Oryctolagus cuniculus: one gene and its partner. The protein of the gene in region 2 purifies or fractionates together with the protein of the main gene of each other region. This does not show direct contact. Links are inferred from orthologs where the notes say so. Each region holds a gene or a part of one and is shown on either strand. Other genes may lie near its edges.

Evidence for each region.
Region 1: the proteins of RIMS1 (region 2) and ERC2 purify together in Homo sapiens (affinity purification with western blotting; 3 studies listed by BioGRID and IntAct, with this or other methods). This does not show direct contact. The link is inferred for Oryctolagus cuniculus from reciprocal best matches to the Homo sapiens genes RIMS1 and ERC2.

What each region holds. Positions count from the first base shown.
Region 1 is NC_091441.1:93,425,821-93,429,320, forward strand, and holds part of ERC2 (ERC protein 2), read left to right. Parts: intron 1-1,906; 5' UTR 1,907-2,046; coding exon 2,047-2,703; intron 2,704-3,500. UniProt on the Homo sapiens protein: Thought to be involved in the organization of the cytomatrix at the nerve terminals active zone (CAZ) which regulates neurotransmitter release. Seems to act together with BSN. May recruit liprin-alpha proteins to the CAZ.
Region 2 is NC_091436.1:100,750,118-100,754,187, reverse strand, and holds the start of RIMS1 (regulating synaptic membrane exocytosis protein 1), read left to right. Parts: upstream 1-1,270; 5' UTR 1,271-1,415; coding exon 1,416-1,579; intron 1,580-4,070. UniProt on the Homo sapiens protein: Rab effector involved in exocytosis. May act as scaffold protein that regulates neurotransmitter release at the active zone.

The DNA of each region.
Region 1 (3,500 bases), on a different chromosome or scaffold from region 2:
GTACCAAAGTATGTATTTTATCAACATCATCTTATGTAATTTTTTAAAAGTTTTATTTATTTATTTGAAAGTCAGAGTTACACAGAGAGAGGAGAGGCAGAGAGAGAGAGATCTTCCATCCACTGGTTCACTCCCTGATTGGCAACAGTTGGTGCTGGGCCCATGTGAAGCTAGGAGCCAGGAGTTTCTTCTGGGTCTCCCATGTGGGTGCAGGAGCCCAAGGACTTGAGCCATCTTCTGCTGCTTTCCCAGGTCATAGCAGAGAGCTGGATGAAAAGTGGAGCAGCCTGGATTCGAACTGGCGCCCATATGGGATGCCAGCACTGTAGGCAGTGGCTTTACCTGCTAGGCCACAGAGACAGCCCCATGTATTTTTTTTTTTTTTTTACAATGCTATGAGTTGAGTGATATTGCTTTGCATTCTCACACTTGGAAAGTGGAATTTCCTACAGTTAAAGAATTGCCTAGAGTCACTCAGCTGGTTAGTGTTAGAGTGGAGATTTCAACTCCAGTTTGTCCTTTTTAAAGAGTCTGTTCTCTTTTGATTATAAAGCTAAAGAAAAAAGTATACTAAAGACCCTATAACAGAAAGAACACAAGCTATATGCCACACCCCAGGCCATTCAGATTCTAATATTGAAGGAATAATCACAACCCTGTAGCCCCAGATACATAAAATTTCCACTAATACACTTGAGTGATCATCACAGGGACATTCTATTGCTTTTCTGTAGGGATTATGGGACAAGGAGCTGTAACCTGGTATATTTTTCCTTTGTTTGATTTCTGTATAATTGTGAAATGGATAATATGAATAGCTCTTAAAATTTATTTATTTATTTGAAAGGCAAATTTGAAAGGAGGGAGGGATGATGAGTGAGAAAGAGATACCTACCATCTAACTGCTGGTTTACTCTCCAAATGACTGCAATGATCAGGGCTGCACCAGGCTAAAGCCAGGGGCCAGGAACTCCATCTAGGTCTCCAGCCTGAATGGCAGAGGCCCATGCACTTGAGCAATCTTCTTTTGCCTTCCCAGTCACATTAGCAGGGAGCTAGATTGTAGCCATGACTTGAACCAGCCACTGACATGGGATGCCATTGTCACAAGTGGTGGCTTAAGCCATAATGCTGGCCCCAAGTTAACATGAATATTAAGGTTAACTGAAATGGGAAAAAATTCTTAAAAAGACTTAGAAAATGTGTGTGGAAGTAGAACAAGACAGGACTAAATGTTTTCTCTGGTGACAATAATGGGGATCTGGCTAGATGTGTCAGTGTCTCATTCATTGAGCTGCTGCTTTGTCTAGTTCCAAGATGGCTAACATGTGTCAGTTCCAGTTGATTGAGGGTCAACCATTTAGAGTGTTATGAGGGGAGAGTTCTGAACCTAGTGGGAAAAAGGACTGTGATTAATTCGTGATGTCTGTAAAGGGTACTGGAGAGGAAGGTAACAGATGCTTTCCAAATACTTAAATTCTGTATCCTAGGAAGCAGCAATTTCTTCGAGTGACTGTCAGGCTTCATATGTATGGATTCATGTACTTGATGATGGATTATTTTATTGCTAATATTTCCATGGTGGGGAATCTTTGGTGAACTTTCTAGTGATCCAAACTGTAACATACCACAAATCAAAATGGATAGCTTTATTTTCCTGAGAGAAAAAAAAGCCTGTTTTTTGCTCAAAACTTGCTTAGGAGTAGGGTGGGAGAATTTGTAAAAATGTACCTGTAATTAGTAAAGTTTTGGGGTTACTTTTCCTTTTACGTGAACTTCATAGGTGGAATGATCATTTATCTCTCAATATAACCATTTACCTGTCTATATATTGTAAAATGTCATGTAGTTGTAGTCAGATTTCTAAATAAGTTTGTTTTTACTTATCACTGTTTTCATTTTGCAGATCTTTGATTGGAGTCATTTTCTGGTACAGACTACGACAAGAATGCATTGAAAATTCTGGTCAACAGTGGAAATATTGACATAAGCCCCAACTTAGTATAGCATTTCGTCTCTTGAATAGTAACTCATAATACAAGAAAAATGTATGGAAGTGCAAGAACAATCACCAACCTGGAAGGTAGTCCTTCCAGGTCTCCTCGTTTGCCAAGGTCACCTCGTTTGGGCCATAGGAGAACAAGTAGTGGGGGAGGTGGAGGAACGGGCAAGACTCTGTCTATGGAAAACATTCAGTCTCTTAATGCAGCCTATGCTACGTCTGGACCCATGTATCTGAGTGATCATGAGGGAGTGGCTTCAACAACTTACCCAAAGGGCACCATGACTCTGGGCAGGGCCACAAATCGAGCTGTATATGGAGGCCGAGTCACAGCCATGGGGAGCAGTCCCAATATTGCTTCCGCTGGACTTTCCCACACAGATGTCCTTTCATATATGGATCAACATGGTGGTCTGACCAGCTCAACCCATCATCACCACCACCAGGTCCCCTCCATGTTGAGGCAGGTAAGAGATAGCACAATGTTGGATCTTCAAGCCCAGCTAAAGGAACTTCAGAGAGAGAATGACCTCCTCCGGAAAGAGCTGGACATCAAGGACAGCAAGTTGGGATCTTCCATGAACAGCATCAAGACATTCTGGAGTCCTGAGCTTAAGAAAGAGAGAGTCTTGAGGAAAGAAGAGGCAGCTCGGATGTCTGTCCTCAAGGAGCAGATGAGGGTTTCCCATGAAGAAAATCAGGTAGGTTATGACTTCCTCCGCATTTTTCAGCCTTAGCTTCTCACTGAGTAGTTGATGCTGTGCAGATGGCACCTTGACCTGTGCAGAAGAAAAACTTTGGCATCATCAAAAAGGTTTTATCTTAGAATGTATTTAACTTTGGCATTATAAGACAGTATAAGAAATATGAGGTCACAACTTATGGTTTCCTTTTTTCCAATCTTTGCAGAAGTGTGTGTGTGTGGGGGTTACTTATTGCCTAAATTTTGAACTTGGTAAATTTTGTTTTCTTTTTCAACAGTTGCAGCATCTCAAATGTACCTCTCTCTGAATAGAAGAGGAAAATGTTAATTTCTGCAAGAGTAGACCATTTAGAGGGCCACCTTTGAGTGGTGAATAGATTTTTTAGAGAACACCAGCAGTGTTATTTCCTTCTGAAATGGATAGGGCTTGTTCTCTAAGTGGCAAATGGAGCAATATGGAATGGGATGGGATTCAATGGATTTGATGTCATGTTAGAGACACACAGTAAATTTTAATTTAGTCTTACTGTCTTGATCCATTCAATATTAATTAACTACTCTGTTTACATGGTGCCCCATTGCGCACATTCATTCACACACACAAACACACATGTAAACAATACAAAAGCTTGACAAAAAACTAAAAAAAAAAACCTACCTACTCTGTGTGCAAAGTACCTTCTTACTCTTCACTGACCCATCCTTCATGTCACAACAAGGTTAGTTTCCCCATGTTTGCCTGCAGATAGGCCATTACCATGCATTAAAGCTCTCTGTGATTCTGTGATTACTTTT
Region 2 (4,070 bases):
TCTTAAATGCAATAGGATATGATCGGATGTTTTTCTTACCTGGGATCAGTGTTTCTGGAGAAGTCGCTATAGAGGCTAAGGCATGAGTACATGATGACAGTGAATATCATTAGAGCAATTAGAGTAGATAATCCATTTGCAAGCACCAAAGAAGTGCATTTATGTGGTGCATTGGGGCTACCCAGAGCCCTAAATGACAGTTTAGAGGTACTGTGTTGTGGGGCATCTTGAGACGAAATTAGGATACGTTGCTGAACAGTCCTAGCGAGAACGGGTCAAGAAAGACACTGCATTGAAGAGTACAGTGTACCCACAAAATCCAGGCTGTTGGAGGGGTGTGTGTGTGTGTGTAAAAATGATCTAGAAAATCACATTGTTGTAGCCCTGAACACTTGACTAGTAAACGCGATAACAGGAAGGAAAAAAAAATGTGTCCACAGGGTGTTCCATCCTGCTGTTCAGAACATTGTGGGTGCCCAAACAATATTAATGCTCTATGATGAAGACGGTAGAGAGGATGATGATGATGATTAATGCAACTCATGGAAAAACAGGGCTGGGGAGGATGACATAGACCAGGGACCACGAGAGGGAGGATGACTCACGGGTGAGGGGTACCTGGGGATAGAGCGATGTGGCGTGCACGTTGGCGAGCGTGGGGGAGCGGCCGGGGCACGCGTGCCTCGGACCTGGGAGTGGGCGGGTGGGCGCGGAGAGGCGGAGCGTATCCCGGACTGGGTGGCTGGCAGCTCTGTCTGCGAGAGCAGCAGCATCACCCGGGAGCGAAGCCTCGGAGACTCCGCCTAACTGACACCCAAACTCTCCCTCTCCCTCCCGCAGCCCCAAACTGGAGGCAGCTGAGTCTGCGAGCAGCCTCGGCGGCGGCGGCGGCCGCCCCAGCCCCAGCCCCAGCCCCAGCCCCGGCCCCGGCCCCAGCCCCAGCTAACGCTAGCCCCGGCCCCGGCCCCAGCCCCAGCCCCGGCCCCGGCCCCGCCCCCGCCTCGCGCGCCCCGCGGAGACGCCCGGATCGGCGGAGCCCGGCGCAAGCCCTCGCCCCCTCGCCGCGCCCGCCGCGCCTCCGCCCGCCCGCCCCCGCCGCCGAGACCCGGCTGCGGGAGGCGGCCGGCGGCCCCGAGCCTCGCTAGGGCGACCAAAACAAAGGCAGCATCCGGGGCTGGGTGGATGCAAACAACCATGAAAGCCTGGGCTCGCGCTCTCCCCAGCTCCGCCGCTGCTGCCGCCGCCGCCGCCGCCGCCGCCGCCGCCGCTGCCGCTCCTCCTCCCCCTGCCGCCGCCGCCGCCGCCGCCGCCGCCGGGAGGGCTCGGCTGTGAGGGGAAGCAGGGGCGCAGCAGCTGGGCGTGCTTCCGAAAGGTGAGAGCGAGCCGCAAGCGGAGGGGGCGGGCAGGCCACGAAGATGTCCTCGGCCGTGGGGCCCCGCGGTCCTCGCCCACCTACGGTGCCTCCCCCCATGCAAGAGCTGCCCGACCTGAGCCACCTGACCGAAGAGGAGAGGAACATTATCATGGCAGTGATGGACCGGCAGAAGGAAGAGGAGGAGAAGGAAGAAGCCATGCTCAAGTAAGCCACCCGTGCCTCGGTGCCTCCCTCCGTCCATTCACCACTCACTCGCCCAGTCCTCCCGGCCGGGTGGGGGAGGGGCGGGCGCGGGTGCTGGGTTCGGGCGGAGGCGCCCGCCCCGGGGCCAGGGGTGCTGGGTTTGAGTAGGGGTGAGGCCAGTGGGGCCAGGGGAAGCAGGGGATGCCACCAAGCCGGAACCAAGGAGCCGGGTGTAGATGGCTTGAGGCTGGGGTGCCCGGGAGGATTGGGAGTGGACAGGGGCCACCCCGGTGGTGGGATGTGAGGGAGCTCAGAGAACCTGAAGCCGCCAAAGTGGAAGGGCCCTGGGCTGGGAGCAGGTGAGGGGGCAGCGGATAAGCAGTGGAAAGGAGGGGTGGGATGAAGAGGTGCTGAGGACAGCTCCTCTGCTCTTTTGGAGTTGTTTGGCAGGTCGGGGTTAGCCCGGTGAAGGGTGCCCGCATTTACAGAATGAAAATGCTGATTTTTAGTATTCATTTTGCTACTCATTCATTTCACAGACCAAGGTTGGGTCTTTTCTGGGCAGTTGCCATCTTTGGTAACCTGCCTCCCCAGCTTCTCTTCACCCTGTTCTTCACAGTCTAGAGCAGAGAATACCTGTGTGAAGATACATTTTCTTACCCAGATGTAATGCCACGGGCAATGCAAAGTTTCTGATAATGAGAGAAGCTGCTGAGGAATCTGGCCTGAATAAAATAGAGGTCTCTCTTTGGTGGGCACCAAGAGACCTCTGGGGCCTGCTCCATTCCTGGAGGAAGCAGTCCAGTAAGATGTTGAGTGTTTGCACACATCCTGCCTTCTTTAGAGCCCATAGAGCCCTCAAAGCATCTCTGTCTGGTGCCCTATTTTCCTGGGGACGGCGAGGGGATAGGGTTGGCTGCTGGTGGTGCAGGGGTGTGTGACAACTATGCTGCTGCTTGCTCAGACAACACTGCTTACAAGGAACTGGCAGAGAGACCGGGCTTTCTCATCCTTAGCATCACCCACAGAGTGGAGCTGAAGGGGACTTCATCCTGTCTTTCCTGGGGGAAGTCTTCATGTATTGGGGAAAGTTTCCCACTATGGAGTGGGAGGATTTGGAGACCCTGACTGGGAGTAATTCTTCAGGCCCCTTGTGTAAGCTAGCAGGTGTATCTGGGGGCAGGGGATTGGCATGAGGAGCTGAGAGGAACCTGTTGCATCTGGAGTTAGCTGATAGCAAAAAAAAAAAAAAAAAAAAAAAAAAGAGTAGAAAGGGAGCAGGAGTGACAGTCAGTACAGAGCACACCCAGCATGGCCTCTCTCCCACCCCTAGAATTGCCTCCTGGAGGGAAGATGCTGCCTGGAAGGTTTCTTCCGTTTCCCCTCAGTGCAGCAGTGCCTCACAGGAGAGGGAAGAAGGGAGGCTGCATTCACAAACTGATGAGTCTCCAACCAGTGCAACTGTCACCCAGAGCAGGGAGGCGACACTGAGGGAGAGATGTGGTTGCTGGGTCACAGCAAAATAGTAGAAGCCCAGTCATTCCTGCCCTGTAACTATGGATGGAGAAAAGGGCTGTTAACCAGGCAGGCCAGAGCTGGCCTGATTCTATAAAGAGCAGCAGGCTTCTGCGTTCCCTGCTCCTTCTCATCCGAAAAACAAATACTTTAAACCTGCAGGCTTCAGAGAGGCACAGCCCTCGGTAATCTGCTGCCTGTCCCTAGTGGAAGAATGGCATCCCCGGTGCTGCAGGCTTTCCCTCTTCTGAGACTGGAAGTAATGGATGGTGTCTGATGGTGCTGCTGTCTGTGTGTCTAGTTGTCAGTTTGTCTGTCCTTACTGGTTGCAGCCCCTGCCACCTGTCCTGGACACCTTTTCTGCTCTTCAGTATTTCCAGGTGTGTTGCTGTTCCTTTTGGTGTTCACTGCAGACAGCAAGTGGATGGAGGCTTCCAGCACCTAGTGGAAAATATGGGTGGCTGCTTGACAGTCTGGTTAGAAAGGGGAAGGCACATTGCAAGTTGTGGCCATCACGCCTCTTCATTGGCTGTTTCAGGCATGGTGGAGAGTGATGAATTTTAAGTGGGAGTGGGTGAGTTTTAGGACAGAATCCTAAACCTGCTAACTGGTTAAGGACAGTGATTATATGATTGTATGGGCTTTTATGGGCAAATGAAAAATAAAGCATTGTCCAACTGCTCACCTGTAACACTTTTTTTTTTTTTTGCCCACTGCTTTTCCTATGAGTGCTTTCCACTTACTTGCAAATATTTTTCCTTCATTGCATGGTTTCACAAAATATCACAATATGTCTTGCTGTTATACAATAGACTTCTACAGTCTTGGACCTCTGCATTAACTTGTATCAGTTATCCTCTTTTACTGATGTCTTTTGTGCAATGGATTGGTGAGTCTCAGTTTGTTGCCATACAAGTGTGTCATATTATCTACAAGTAATGGAACAGTAGTATACTTTTATTGAGGGGACTCTTGTCTTAAAAACTGAGGATAGCAA